3 linked regions of the Macaca mulatta genome follow. The main gene of each other region encodes a partner of the protein of the gene in region 3 in a complex. Links are inferred from orthologs where the notes say so. Each region holds a gene or a part of one and is shown on either strand. Other genes may lie near its edges. The genes, in order: SLC7A9, SLC7A13 and SLC3A1.

Region 1 (4,773 bases), on a different chromosome or scaffold from region 3:
GACCAGTGGTCTATTCCTGGACATTCATGGAACACGCAAGTTCAATGTGTTCCACGAGGAGGCGCCTGTTGCTAGCCCCGCTTTGCAGATTCAGATCCTGATCCTGGCAGTGCTGCCTGAGCCCATGTGGGGAGTGGGTGAGGTTGCAGGGCTGTCTGGTGTCTGGCCCCAGCAGGGGACCACTGCCCCACCCTGCCCTCCTCATGTGGTCTCCTGTCAGCCCGCCAGGAGCACGTTTCCCCAGGGAGTATTCTGTGGTGTTTTGCAAACATGGATGTGCCAGGTGCTATGACGAGGCTGCAGCATTAGGAGGAGTGACCCCAGCAAGCCTGTGGGCAGGTTCTGTCTGGGGGTGGCAGGACCTGCCGCCAGCCCCTGGCTTCTACTCTCCAGCCTCTCTGCTCAGGGCTCTGGGCATGGCAGGCAGGTAAACAGGCTGTGCCCTCCCAAGATGGGAGATAATGAACTTTTTTTTTTTTTTTTTTTTTTGAGATGGAGTTTCGCTCTTTTTGCCCAGGCTGGAGTGCAATGGCACGATCTTTGCTCACTGCAACCTCCGCCTCCTGGGTTCAAGCGATTCTCCTGCCTCAGCCTCCCGAGTAGCTGGGATTACAGGCATGTGCTACCACGTCTGGCTAATTTTTTGTATTTTTAGTAGAGACGGGGTTTCTCCATGTTGGCCAGGCTGGTCTTGAACTCCCGACCTCAGGTGATCCACCCGCCTCGGCCTCCCAAAGTGCTGGGATTACAGGCGTGAGCCACCGCGCCCGGCCTGGAGCTGATGAACTTCTAAATCAGGTTCCTGTGCTCTGCAGACGGCTTTGAGAGAAACCTGTGCCTCTCTCAGGTCTGCTTGCCCCAAACTGTGCCCCAAAGACTCGCCCAGCTCCTTCCACCCCTGACCTTTGCTTCCATCCAATATCTGGGATGCAGTTAGGTTTGCCTCGAGGCAAAGCTACCAGAGTTTTGGCTGAAGATAACAGCTACAATGCTTCACACGCAGTGCTTATGCTGTGCCAGGCTGTCCTGCCTGTCTCATAAGGTGCTTCCTTCCCTATCTGAAAGGGCTTAGTGCTGACCTCTGAGGCTGCCGCCTGACCCAGGGTCCAGTCGCAGCGCGGGAGAACCTCTGCTCCCTCCCGGAGACATCCAGACCCTGGCAGCCCTGGATGGGGACCGGAGCTTCCTGGCCATGTGTTTCCTGTCCCCCCATAGGCCTCTGTTTCCCCGATGGGGAAGGTTTTGTGTCCCTTGTGTCTGATGAGCCAGGACATGGCTACGTGAACAGCACCACAGCCAAATCTGATGGGCATTTGGCCACAGCTGCAGGGAGGATGTGGGGGCCTGCACTGCCTCAGGCCTGCTCGTGGCTCCAAGTGGTGAAGCCCCATCACTGGTAAAGAGGAGTGGGACGGGCTCAACCGCTCTCACCTGATCAGCCAGAGGCAGGCCCGGGGCTTGGGGGAATTTCCTGGGCAGGGAGGAAACTGACAAACAGCTGAGTTACACACACACAGCAGTTCCTGTTTGAGCTGCCTGACTTGGGTTTTAAATATAGCCTATTAAAGCAATTAGAGAATTGGTTCCAAAGTTTACCTCCTCTGATTCCCAAAGATAAAAGAAGGCATAATTTATTTTATCTTTAGGTAAAAAGTGTAGATGATTTGGGACTATCTGGTTTTAAAAAAATAATCTGACCTAGACACAAATGAACAAAAACAGTTTTGGAGAGAAATTGGTCTGCCTCACCCTCCCCTTTTTGTGTGGCGTATCTAAGCTTCATGGCTAAAACAAAACCAAAAAAAAAAGGTGTTTAATAATTACCTTTATTGACCTCTGTACCTTCTGGACTTCCTTCACTCCTGGGCACAAGACATGGCCATTCCTAGGGTTGGACCGTGCAGGCACGGGCGGTCAGCTGGGCCGCAGCTTCTCCGGCTCTGCAGGGTCACGGAGGAAGGTAAGGTCCGTGGGTGATAGAAAGGCTCATGGCTCTCCTGGCCGGGGCCTGGACAGAGAATTTATTTAGAGAGAGGGTACAGTGGTGCATGGTTACCTCCTAATTCAGTCTGGAACTGGGTTTCCTCGGCAATGTTTTCATTCCTTTCATCACTTAATGAAAAAGTACCTGGCCAGGTGCGGTGGCTCACCCCTGAAATCCCAGCCCTTTGGGAAGCCAAGGTGGAAGGACTGCCTGAGCCCAGGAGTTGGAGGCCAGCCTGGGCAAATAGCGAGACTCACGTCTTTACAAAAAAAATATTGTAAAAATTTAAAAAGTACAAAGAAAAAGTACCTGTATTGTATTGTGGCTCTGTGATGTAGGGGAGTGTCTTTAATCTTGGGAAGGAATTATAAGACACACACTCCTTACCTGGACTTGATTCTGATAAATACATTCCACAATATTTTCATTTTTAAATTTTTTATATTTTATTTTTTTGAAACGGAGTCTCGCTCTGTGGCCCAGGCTGGAGTGCAGTGGCACGATCTTGGCTCACTGCAACCCCCACCTCCCAGGTTCAAGTGATTCTCCTGCCTCAGCCTCCTGAGTAGCTGGGATTACAGGCACCCGCCACCATGCCCAGCTAATTTTTTTTTTTTTTTCATTTTGAGTGGAGACGGGGTTTCGCCATGTTGGCCAGGCTGGTCTCAAACTCTTGGGCTCAAGTGATCCGCCCACCTTGGCCTCCCAAAGTGCTGGGATTACAGGCCTGAGCCATTGTGCCCAGCCCAGGATGTTGTTAAATATTTCTTTTAACTTTTGGAAAAAAAAAATGAAGTTGGACCACGGAGGTAGAATAACTTTCAAGGCACAGGCACGTGGGCCAGAAGGCTCCCGGGGCCTGTCTGGGAGAAAGCTAAGCAAGCAGCTGAGCTTTGGAGAACAGTGGGGAGCTGTGTTCCCCTGCCTGGACAGTGTTAATGACTGACTTTGACTCTGGGGCCCAGCGCATGAGCCCTGCAGGACTGGCAGCGGCCCCCGCCTGTCGCAGTAACCAACACTGTGCTTTTGGAGCCAGCTCCCCTAGTCCAGGCCGAGCTTGCACTTGCATCTTGTTTGCTGCTGCTGAACCAAGATTCAGCTGTGTGCCTTCCTTGCAGTCTCCTGGAACCAGCAGGAGGAAACATGGGGGATACTGGCCTGAGAAAGCGGAGAGAGGATGAGAAGTCGATCCAGAGCCAAGAGCCCAAGACCACCAATCTCCAAAAGGAGGTAAGGCGGTCTCTGGCGGGGCGGGCCCTTTGCAGGTTAGGCAAGGGCGTCTGAACGAGGGGCGCAGGCAGTGAAATCCGGGCCGATCCCTAGTGACACGGCAGAAGATGTGCTCTTTGATTTGTGAATTACATCTTTAAAGGGACAATCTCTGAACCTACTTCTTTCCCTCTTTCCCTCTCACCAGGGAACTCTGTATATTCTTTTTTTTTTTTTTTTTTTTAGATGGAGTGTTGCTCTGTCGCCCAGGCTGGAGTGCAGTGACGCCATCTCGGCTCACTGCAACCTCCACCTCCCCGGTTCAAGGGATTCTCCTGCCTCAGGCTCCTGAGTAGTGGGGATTATAGGCGCCCGCCACCATACCCGGCTAATTTTTGTATTTTTAGTAGAGATGGGGTTTTGCCATGTTGGCCAGGCTGGTCTCGAACTCCTGACCTCAGGTGATCCTCATACCTCGGCCTCCCAAAGTGCTGGGGTTACAGGTGTGTGCCACTGCACCCGGCTGCATTTTTTTTTTTTTTTTGAGACAGTGTTGCTATGTCGCCCAGGCTGGAGTGCAGTGGCTTGATCTCAGCTCACTGCAACCTCTGCTTCCTGGGTTCAAACAGTTCTCCTGCCTCAGTCTCCTGAGTAGCTGGGACTACAGGCATGTGCCACTATGCCTGGCTAATTTTTGTATTTTTAGTAGAGACAGGGTTTCACCATGTTGGCCAGGCTGGCCTCCAATTCCTGGCCTCAAGAGATCTGCCCACCTTGGCTTCCCAAGTGTTGGGATTACAGGCGTGAGCCAACTTGCCCGGCCCACATATTATTTTAAGTTCATACCTGGGTGCTTTTGTGTGTTGGGCAAATGTCTAAAGGGGCCAGTAGTTTTGTTCAAACTAATGACCTTTCCAGGAATGGTCAGAAAGGGCCTCCTTTTAAAAAATTAAAAAAAAAAAAAAAATTTAGAGACAAGGTCTTGCTCTGTCACCCAGGCTGGAGTGCAGTGGTACAATCATGGCTCACTGCAGCCTCGACCTCCTGGGCTCAAGTGATCCTCCTGCCTCAGCCTCCGGAGTAGCTGGGACTACAGGGGTGCACCACAATGCCCTGCCAAATTTTTAACTTTTCAAAAAATTTTTTTCTGTAGAGGCACGGTCTTGCTGTGTTGCCCAGGCTGGTCTGGAACTCCTGGGCTCAAGCCATCCTCCCACCTTGGGCTCCCAAAGTGCTGGGATTATAGGCGTGAGTCACTGTGCCCAGCCAGAGAGGGTGTTCTGATGGTTGAGTCCCCTCTAAATGCCTGTCCCTCTTATGTCTGAATGGCTGTAGTAAGGGGAAGTACTGCCCCCAGCATAGCCTGTTCTGTCTTAGAGGCATCTACCAGGGACGGCCGCTCTGAGTTGGGGTGCAGTGAGCAGCTGGGGCTGGCCCTGGGCCTGGAGGGGAAGGGAGCTTGGGGCTGTGGGAAGGCAGAAAGGAGCTCCACACGGGTCACCGCGGCAGGCCCAGGCAGTTGGGAGCAGCAGGTGCTGAGCATGGAGGAGTGGGGAGGGCTTCAGGCTCCGAGGAGGAGG
Region 2 (4,095 bases), on a different chromosome or scaffold from region 3:
TGGCTAGGTTACTCAATATAAAGTCTCTTATATTCCATTTAATGGTTTATTAGAGAGAAAAACAGTTCTCTGGATGGTTAGACAGATCATTATGAGTCTTTTGAACAGATATTATTTTGTCTACTTATGTAACTAGTTATGCATATGAATGTCTTCCACAGTCAGGGTCAGATTTAGCAGATGAGAAACAGAAGAGGCAAGGTGAGGTCACAAGTGATAACATCCACTGTTCTGAAACATCAACTTACTTTGTTGGCAAATTCCAGTCTTTCAACTTTACTTATTTTAAACTGACTTTCAGTCTGGATGAAAAAAATTTTCACAGGAGAGGAGACAACCATTTAATTGTAGAAAAACAAATAAGCAGCAAAACTTGGTAGCATAAGAATGTTATTGGAGAGAGATGGCCCTGACACTGATGATCAGAATAATAAAATAATCTTGGTTGCCTAGGTAGGTTGTTCAAAGCTTGGCTTGGATGATCACCTTTAATCCTCTCAGTAATAGAAAGGTGGATTCTATTGTTATTCCCATTTTACAGATAAGAAAACAGACTTAGAAAAGTTAGGTCACTTGCCCAAGCTCACACAGCGTGGATTACAGCAAGATTTAAATCTAGGCAGTCTCTTTGGAGTGTTTGACTCTCGCTAAATACAAAATATACGAAAGAACTGCTGAGAGAACGAAAGCAATGTTCCCATCACCAGCTGTGGTTGATTTATGTCCTTCTTTCCTTTCCAGCCTTCTTTTCAACTTCTTCCATCCAGTCATCTCTTAATTGTTGTGTATCTGAGTATTAGTTGTCAAGAAGCAACTATATTTTAAGCACCTTGCTAGGTACTCTGAGTAGAAAAATAATTAAGACTTGGCTCCTGCCTTTAGTCAGGTTATAATCTATCTGGACAGTCATGTAAACCAAAAATCATGGCGTGATGATTGCTACCTAGTGATCTGCAGAGGAAGCTCAGAGAACACATACGGAGAGAGATCGAATCTACAGCAGGGTTGATGGTCATAGTCCCCCTTGGATGTGCCTCCCTAACGTCTGCTCTCTGTATAGTTTCACATGCTGCATCTTTTTAATGTCTTTTGCTGTTTTCTCACCCACACTTTTGTTAGATCACTGACCCTAATAGATACAATTATAAAGAAGTTATGAACTGGGGGATAAATTAGTTATACACAAATAACAGCATAAGATAATCATTAAGAGCTTTGGGCTCAAGTCCAGTTGCTTGGCTAATAGCTGAGTTTAGTCTTGTTATTGAACCTCTGAACCTCAGTTTCTTCAGATGTAAAATGGGAAAAAATAATACCGACCTCCTATTAACATTGGATGTATTAAGTAAGCTAAGGCATGCAAACAATCCAGGGTCTGACATTGATGGCTATTATTGCTTATATTATTATTCAACTTACATTTGCATCAGAAAGGAAGGCAAGAACAGCCTTAAGTACAAGTGGCTAAAATTTGTCTTGTATGCCCCCAGGAGTGCTCTTTTCTTTTCTCTCAATTATTTGATAACTGATACTGAGCCATGAGATGATAAAGTATCTTTATTATTTATTTATTTATTTATTTATTTTGTTTTTTGAAATGGAGTCTCACTCTGTCGCCCAGGATGGAGTGCAGTGGCGCAATCTCAGCTCACTGCAAACTCCACCTCCTGGGTTCACGCCAATCTTCTGCCTCAGCCTCCCGAGTAGCTGGGACTACAGGAGCTCACCACCACACCTGGCTAATTCTTTTGTATTTTTAGTAGAGACGGAGTTTCACCACGTTAACCAGGATGGTCTCAATCTCCTGATCTCGTGATCCGCCTGTCTCAGCCTCCCAAAGGGCTGGGATTACAGGTGTGAACCACCGTACCCGGCCTAAAGTATCTTTTTCAAGGATGCTTTATAAACTAAGAAGAGATTTTTTTTTTTTTTTTTTTTTTTTTTTTTTGAGACAGAGTCTCTTGTCGTCCAGGCTGGAGAGGCTGGAATGCAGTGGCGTGATCTTGGCTCACTGCAACCTCCGCCTCCTGAGTTCAAGTGATTCTCCTGCCTCAGCCTCCCAAGTAGCTGGGATTACAGGTGCCCGCCACCACACCCAGCTAATTTTTGTTTTTTTAGTAGAGACGGAGTTCCACCATGTTGCCCAAGCTGATCTCGATCTCCTGACCTCATGATCCACCAGCCTTGGCCTCACAAAGTGCTGAGATTACAGGCATGAGCCACTGTGCCCGGCCAAGAAGAGATTCTTAATGATTAAATCCCAACAAATAATCCTCTAATGAAAGGGTTTTGTTTCATAAATTATGACTAGCTGTGTTATATATATCTTTGGGGAATGTAGATTCATATTAGTTATATCTTATATCAATTTTCTCCCTAGGTTGGGTAATGTTGTAGAGAACTCTTACAATTCTAACACAAAGCAGGTACCAAGGACTGGTCTTTAAGGCTTTTGGCAAAACAAAAACAAAATATAAAACAGGGAAAATTGTTTTAGCTAAAATTTTTGTCTTGATTTTTTTTTAATATGTTGAGCCTATAAAGTTATAACATTTACCTGTCAGTATTTACCTGTGTAACAGAGGGTCTGAGGATGGTTCTTCTGTTTTGTCATGAATTTCTTACTGCCTTGAGATATTTTCCAAAGAAGATTTTTGTTACTTCCATTGGGCCTTAGAAATTCCCTCTTAACAGATTCATGGTACTCAGATCAGTAGATTGTGATCTTATCAGCAAATGGTTCTAGTTATTTCCATTCATGGACAGTCAAATGCTAGATGTCCATTCCCTCCAACCTGACAATGTGTCTTCAACGTCTCCTTTCACTCAGGCATTTATCTGACTTCTAAGCCAGGTTTATTCAACTTTACAGCTAATTTAGCCTGTTTAATTAGCTTGTATCTCTGCATTTTTATTTATATAAAGATGCAGGTATCATTCATGGATGTTCATATCTAATATTTTTTCAAACTTTGCTCTTTTCAGGTGTTTCTGCCATTTCCATTAACCACAATAGTCATCGACGTGGGCTTGGTTGTGATACCATTGGTAAAGTCTCCAAATGTGCATTATGTCTACGTGCTTCTGTTAGTTCTCAGCGGATTACTATTTTACATACCTTTAATGCATTTTAAAATAAGATTGGCTTGGTTTGAGAAGATGACTTGCTATTTACAATTACTATTTAATATTTGCCTCCCTGATACGTCTGAGGAACAGATGTCAGAAGTGCAAACTGTTAAAAAATAGCCTTCTAAAAAACATATATCAGATTCCAAATCAAGGTTAAACACATGATAGAACATTCATGGTGAAATTCCTATGGTAACTATTTTTTTTTCTCAAATGAAATAAGTAATGTATACAAAAGTACCCAAGACAGTACCTGGCTTCAAAGTCACTAAGAAATTGTTATGCATAACTAAAGCTCTGCTTTGTGTGGTAAAAAACTTAAGTCCTGGTTTGCATAGCTTGATAGAGTGATTATACATCTCCCATTCTCTAACTCTTTTTTCTGTATCCCACCCCTTTTCTACTGAATTTGTGGGAATCCTATAATAAAAGTGAATGACTAAAAATTTTAAAAGCATTCCTTATCTTCATCTTTCCTGAGTCCTTTTTTTTTGAGGTGGGCGGGGCCAGGGAAGATGCTGATTTGAAGATGAAAAGAATAATTCTATTTTTCCAGTTGGCTTTTCCCTTCTAGAATGCAGCACTTTTTTTTTTTTTTTTCTCATCGAGATGGAGCCTCACTCTGTTGCCTGGGCTGGAGTGCAGTGGCGTGATCTCGGCTCACTGCAACCTCCACCTCCTGGGTTCAAGGGATTCTCCTGCCTCAGCCTCCTGAGTAGCTGGGGTTATAGGCGCCTGCCACTATACTCAGCTAATTTTTTGTATTTTTGGTAGAGACTGAGTTTCACCATATTGGCCAGGCTGGTCTCAAACTCCTGAACTCGTGATTTGCTTGCCTTGACCGCCCAAAGTGTTGGGATTACAGGCGTGAGCCGCTCTGCCTGGACCCAGTTTTTTTTTTTTTTCAAGCTAATAACTATTTTAGAAGCATGGGGCTGGGCGTGGCAGCTCACATCTGTAATC
Region 3 (4,095 bases):
CAATACCTGTTCTTGGAGAAATGTTTTACTTCCTGCAATCCATAGGCATTTGTCTTTGAGGTTGAGAGGATTTCGTTGTTGTTATGATGAAGATCCCATTCCAGTTTTGAGTCTGGTTTTACTGATTGCCCTCTCTCCCCCTAAAATGTGGGGTGGGATCCCTTGTTTACTTTCTCTCTCTAGCCACTTTGTTTTCATCCTCATGTTCCTTTGTGCCTCATCATAAGATACATTGTGTTGCTGTGCTGGCTTAGATCAAAACTCTTTTGTTGCCTGTTGAGTCCCAGCTACTCGGGAGACTGAGGCAGGAGAATGGCATGAACCCGGGAGGCAGAGGTTGCAGTGAGCAGAGATTGCACCATTGCACTCCAGCCTGAGCGACAGAGCGAGACTCCGTTTCAAAAAAAAAAAGCAGCCTGTTACAGGGGAAGAGCCCAGATCCTAGGTGTGGAATGACTGTGCTTTGGAATTAGTGACCTTCAGCCTGCTGTGTGGCCTTTGACAGTTTGATTCTAGGAAGCCACATCAGGATTATACAGAAAGTTACTGGAGATTGAATACTAGACTCAAGTTGCTGAATATGCATTTAGGACTCTGAACTAGAAGGAGAAAACACATTATCTGCTCGTTATCCTACGAAGTTCCAAATACAAAGTTTCATTTCCACATGTCTTCTCAGCTAAGCCTAAAATTCTCTTCTGTATAAATTCCTGGCTTCCTATATAAGTGAATAAGGGAAACAGGCCAAATGTGGCAAGTTCAAAGGCAGTCTGAGAGTGGAAACAAAGACTCCTCAAATACTGGCACAGACTTACCTTCCGTGTTGTGGTTACACTCCTCCTCAGACCCCGGGCGCTGACAACATTTATCACCTTTTAAAATTAATTGATGTATTTACTTATTTATTTATATTTATTATTATTATTATTATTTGAGATGGAGTCCCACTCTGTCACCCAGGCTGGAGTGCAGTGGCATAATCTCACCTCACCGCAACCTCTGCCTCCCACGTTCAAGCAATTCTCCTGTCTCAGCCTCCCAGGTAGCTAGGATTACAGGCATGCACCACCGTCCCCAGCTAATTTTTGTATTTTTTAGTTGGGATAGGGTTTCACCATGTTGGTCAGGCTGGTCTTGAACTCTTGACCTCAAGTGATCCACCTGTCTCAGCCTCCCTAAGTGTTGGAATTACAGGTATGAGCCACTGTGTCCAGCCTTCTCACCCTTTTTTAGACATGCCCTGTCTATGCTTGCTCCCTCCTTTCCTTTGCTGTGCCTGGAAGCCCTTCACTCTGATCCCTCTTGCCCGCACCATCCTGGGCCTTGTCTGTCCTTACCCTCAGGGGTCATCAGCTTCCTCTGCCCCTGGGGGCCAGGGGCTAATGCCCTGATGCCCTTAAAGCACTTTCTGCAGCACTTCCTTAGCTCTTCTCCAGTCTTGTCGTCATGCCACCCCTGCCTGCAGACGCTTCCGAGACCAACACCACCCAAAAGAAACACAATGGGAGTCACATAAGAAATTGTAAATTCTGTAGTAGCCACATTAAAAAAAGGAAAAAAGAAGCAGGTGAAATTGATTTTAATATGTTCTGTTTAATCCAATGTATCATTTCAACACATAATCAGTATAAAAATATATACATATTATTATTATTTTTTTTTATTTGAAGACAGGGTTTTATCATGTTACCCAGACTGGTCTCGAATACCTGAGCTCAAGCAATCTGCCCACCATGGCCTCCCAAAGTGCTGGGATTACAGGCATGCGCCACCATGCCCGGCCCAGTATAAAAATATTAATGAGATTTTTACATTCTTTCTTTTTGTACAGGGTCTTCAAAATCCAATACATGTTGTTCCCTTACAGCACAGCTCAATTCCAACCAGCCACGCTGCCCGTGCTCAGTAGCCACATGTGGCACCTGGCTGTTAGAACAGTGCAGTGTAGACCACGTGACCGATGGGGCCATGTGTTACTCTGCTCTGTTCCTTGACACTTAGCTCAGGAGCTGGCATAGATTAGCTGCTCAAAAACTATGTGTAGAATGAATGAACAATACCATAGTCTTGGTTTTAAATATAAAAAAATGAGTAAGTCACAGATTTTTGTTAATGCTATGTTAAATATCATCGATTACTGCTAGGTAACTAATTTGATTTTTTCTTTTCTTTTCTTTTTTTCTTTTTTTTGAGAAAGGGTCTTGCTCTGTCGCCCAGGCTGGAGTGCAGCGACACGATCTTGGGTCCTTGTAGCCTCCACCTCCCGGGTTCAAGTGATCCTCCTGCCTCAGCCTCCCAGGTAGCTGGGATCACAGGCATGTGCCACCACGCCCAGCTAATTTTTGTATTTTTAGTAGAGACAGGGTTTTGCCATGTTGGCCAGGCTAGTCTTGAACTCCTGACCTTAGATATCCTCCCTCCTTGGCCTCCCAAAGTGCTGGGATTACAGGTATGAACCACGACACCCGGCCTAATTTGATGTTGTTGTTTTTTTATAGAGCTAGATCTTCCTATTTGAATTATACTCAAATTCAACAAAATTCTATGTATTTTTGCCTTCATGTAAATATTTCCATCTTAGGCATATTTGTTATATTTTTTGTCCTTTAACTAAAACAAAGTAGGATTTGTTCATGACTTTGACTTTTTTCTTCAGGTATTCAAGATAAACTGGACTACATCACAGCTTTAAATGTAAAAACTGTTTGGATTACTTCATTTTATAAGTCGTCCCTTAAAGATTTCAGATATGGTGTTGAAGACTTCCGGCAAGTCGATTCCATTTTTGGAACGATGGAAGATTTTGAGAATCTGGTTGCAGCCATACATGATAAAGGTAAGTTGAATGGAAAGTGGGCAGCATGGGGGTGAGGGTTGAGAGAAGCACTTTTTCAAATGTTTACTTAAAGCATTTCTTCCCTTTAACTGTCGTGTACTATTTCTTTCCCTCCCTCCCTCCCTCCCCTTCCTTTCTTCCTTCCTTCCTTCCCTCCCTCCCTCCCTCCCTCCCTCCCTCCCTCCCTCCTTCCTTCCTTCCTTCCTTCTCTTTCTCTTTCTTCCTTCCCTTCCCTTTCCTTTTTTCCTTTCTCCTTTCCCTTTCCTTTTTCCTTCCCTATCTCCTTTCTGCCCCCCCCCCTTTCCCTTCTTTTTTTTTTTTTTTTTTCCAGACAGGGTCTTGCTCTGTCTGCCAGGCTGGAGTGCAGTGGCGTAATCATGGCTCACTTCAGCCTCCACCTCCTGGGCTCAAGCAGTCCTCCCACCTTAGCCTCCCAATGTATTAGGGTTACAGGCGTGAGCCACTGCTGTGCCTGGCCTGTCATATGTTATTCTAATACAACTTTTCCTAGCATTTGAAATTTTTTTTACTCATTAGGTTTAAAATTAATCATCGATTTCATACCAAACCACACCAGTGATAAACATACTTGGTTTCAATTGAGTCGGACACGGACAGGAAAATATACTGATTATTATATCTGGCATGACTGTACCCATGAAAATGGCACAACTGTTCCACCCAACAACTGGGTAAGTATCAACCTGTCTGATTTACAAAGCGGTAAAAGGCAGATATGCAGTGATTGAACTGGTTTAGTAAAACCCTTTTGAGGAAAAAATTAATGAATATAGTTTATGGGAAGGGGGAAGTTTCTGAAAGAAATAGACGTAAGGCTTCCAGTTATTATTTACCCAGACCTCCAATTATTATTTAGGTTTCTGATTTCATCATAGAGGTGATGTGTTCTAGCAAATTCAAACCTATATTCTCTCCTTCCACTCTTGCTTCACTTCCTACCTGATCCAACTTGGATTCCATGTCCCATTAGTTTGATAACCATGTTTCTACTATCCATACCCCTTTGCTTATTTATTTATTTTTTCTTGAGATGGAGTTTTGCTCTTGTCCCCCAGGCTGGAGTGCAATGGCACGATCTCGGCTCACTGCAACCTCTGCCTCCTGGGTTTAAGCAATTCTCCTGCCTCAGCCTCACCAGTAGCTATGATTACAGGTGCATGTCACCATACTCGGCTAATTTTTGTATTTTTAGTAGAGGTGGGGTTTCACCATGTTGGCCAGTCTGGTCTTGAACTCCT

What was found.
Region 1: the proteins of SLC3A1 (region 3) and SLC7A9 are in contact, whole or in part, in a cryo-EM structure (PDB 6LID), measured with the Homo sapiens proteins. The link is inferred for Macaca mulatta from reciprocal best matches to the Homo sapiens genes SLC3A1 and SLC7A9. Residues at the interface, in NP_000332.2 of Homo sapiens: Pro64, Tyr65, Ala66, Gly67, Met68, Pro69, Lys70, Leu73, Phe74, Phe76, Ser77, Tyr82, Pro85, Arg86, Phe90, Thr93, Val97, Leu100, Ile101, Ala103, Thr104, Ile107, Ile108, Ser111, Cys114, His201, Asp202, Thr373, Glu374, Pro375; in NP_001119807.1 of Homo sapiens: Cys137, Phe140, Tyr141, Val142, Gly143, Cys144, Pro147, Ile149, Val150, Cys153, Leu154, Ala156, Ala157, Leu160, Phe161, Thr164, Leu168, Thr279, Thr281, Asp295, Arg296, Tyr299, Tyr343, Val346, Arg347, Lys467, Thr470, Met471, His472, Gln474.
Region 2: the proteins of SLC3A1 (region 3) and SLC7A13 are in contact, whole or in part, in a cryo-EM structure (PDB 8WK6), measured with the Homo sapiens proteins. The link is inferred for Macaca mulatta from reciprocal best matches to the Homo sapiens genes SLC3A1 and SLC7A13. Residues at the interface, in NP_000332.2 of Homo sapiens: Pro64, Tyr65, Ala66, Gly67, Met68, Pro69, Lys70, Leu73, Phe76, Ser77, Arg81, Tyr82, Pro85, Arg86, Leu89, Phe90, Thr93, Ser96, Val97, Leu100, Ile101, Thr104, Ile107, Ile108, Ser111, Cys114, Leu115, Glu194, Asn195, Asp202; in NP_620172.2 of Homo sapiens: Ile120, Phe123, Phe124, Pro125, Ser126, Cys127, Leu132, Pro133, Cys136, Leu137, Leu139, Ala140, Met141, Trp143, Ile147, Arg151, Lys187, Thr265, Arg267, Asp281, Arg282, Glu450, Cys454, Tyr455, Gln457, Leu458, Leu459, Phe460, Asn461, Ile462.

What each region holds. Positions count from the first base shown.
Region 1 is NC_133424.1:44,155,698-44,160,470, reverse strand, and holds the start of SLC7A9 (B(0,+)-type amino acid transporter 1), read left to right. Parts: upstream 1-1,869; 5' UTR 1,870-1,960; intron 1,961-3,102; 5' UTR 3,103-3,127; coding exon 3,128-3,214; intron 3,215-4,773. UniProt on the Homo sapiens protein: Associates with SLC3A1 to form a functional transporter complex that mediates the electrogenic exchange between cationic amino acids and neutral amino acids, with a stoichiometry of 1:1.
Region 2 is NC_133413.1:96,680,819-96,684,913, reverse strand, and holds the end of SLC7A13 (solute carrier family 7 member 13), read left to right. Parts: intron 1-2,985; coding exon 2,986-3,249; 3' UTR 3,250-3,586; downstream 3,587-4,095. UniProt on the Homo sapiens protein: Associates with SLC3A1/rBAT to form a functional heterodimeric complex that transports anionic and neutral amino acids across the apical plasma membrane of renal epithelium.
Region 3 is NC_133418.1:80,554,530-80,558,624, reverse strand, and holds part of SLC3A1 (amino acid transporter heavy chain SLC3A1), read left to right. Parts: intron 1-2,656; coding exon 2,657-2,836; intron 2,837-3,373; coding exon 3,374-3,528; intron 3,529-4,095. UniProt on the Homo sapiens protein: Acts as a chaperone that facilitates biogenesis and trafficking of functional transporter heteromers to the plasma membrane.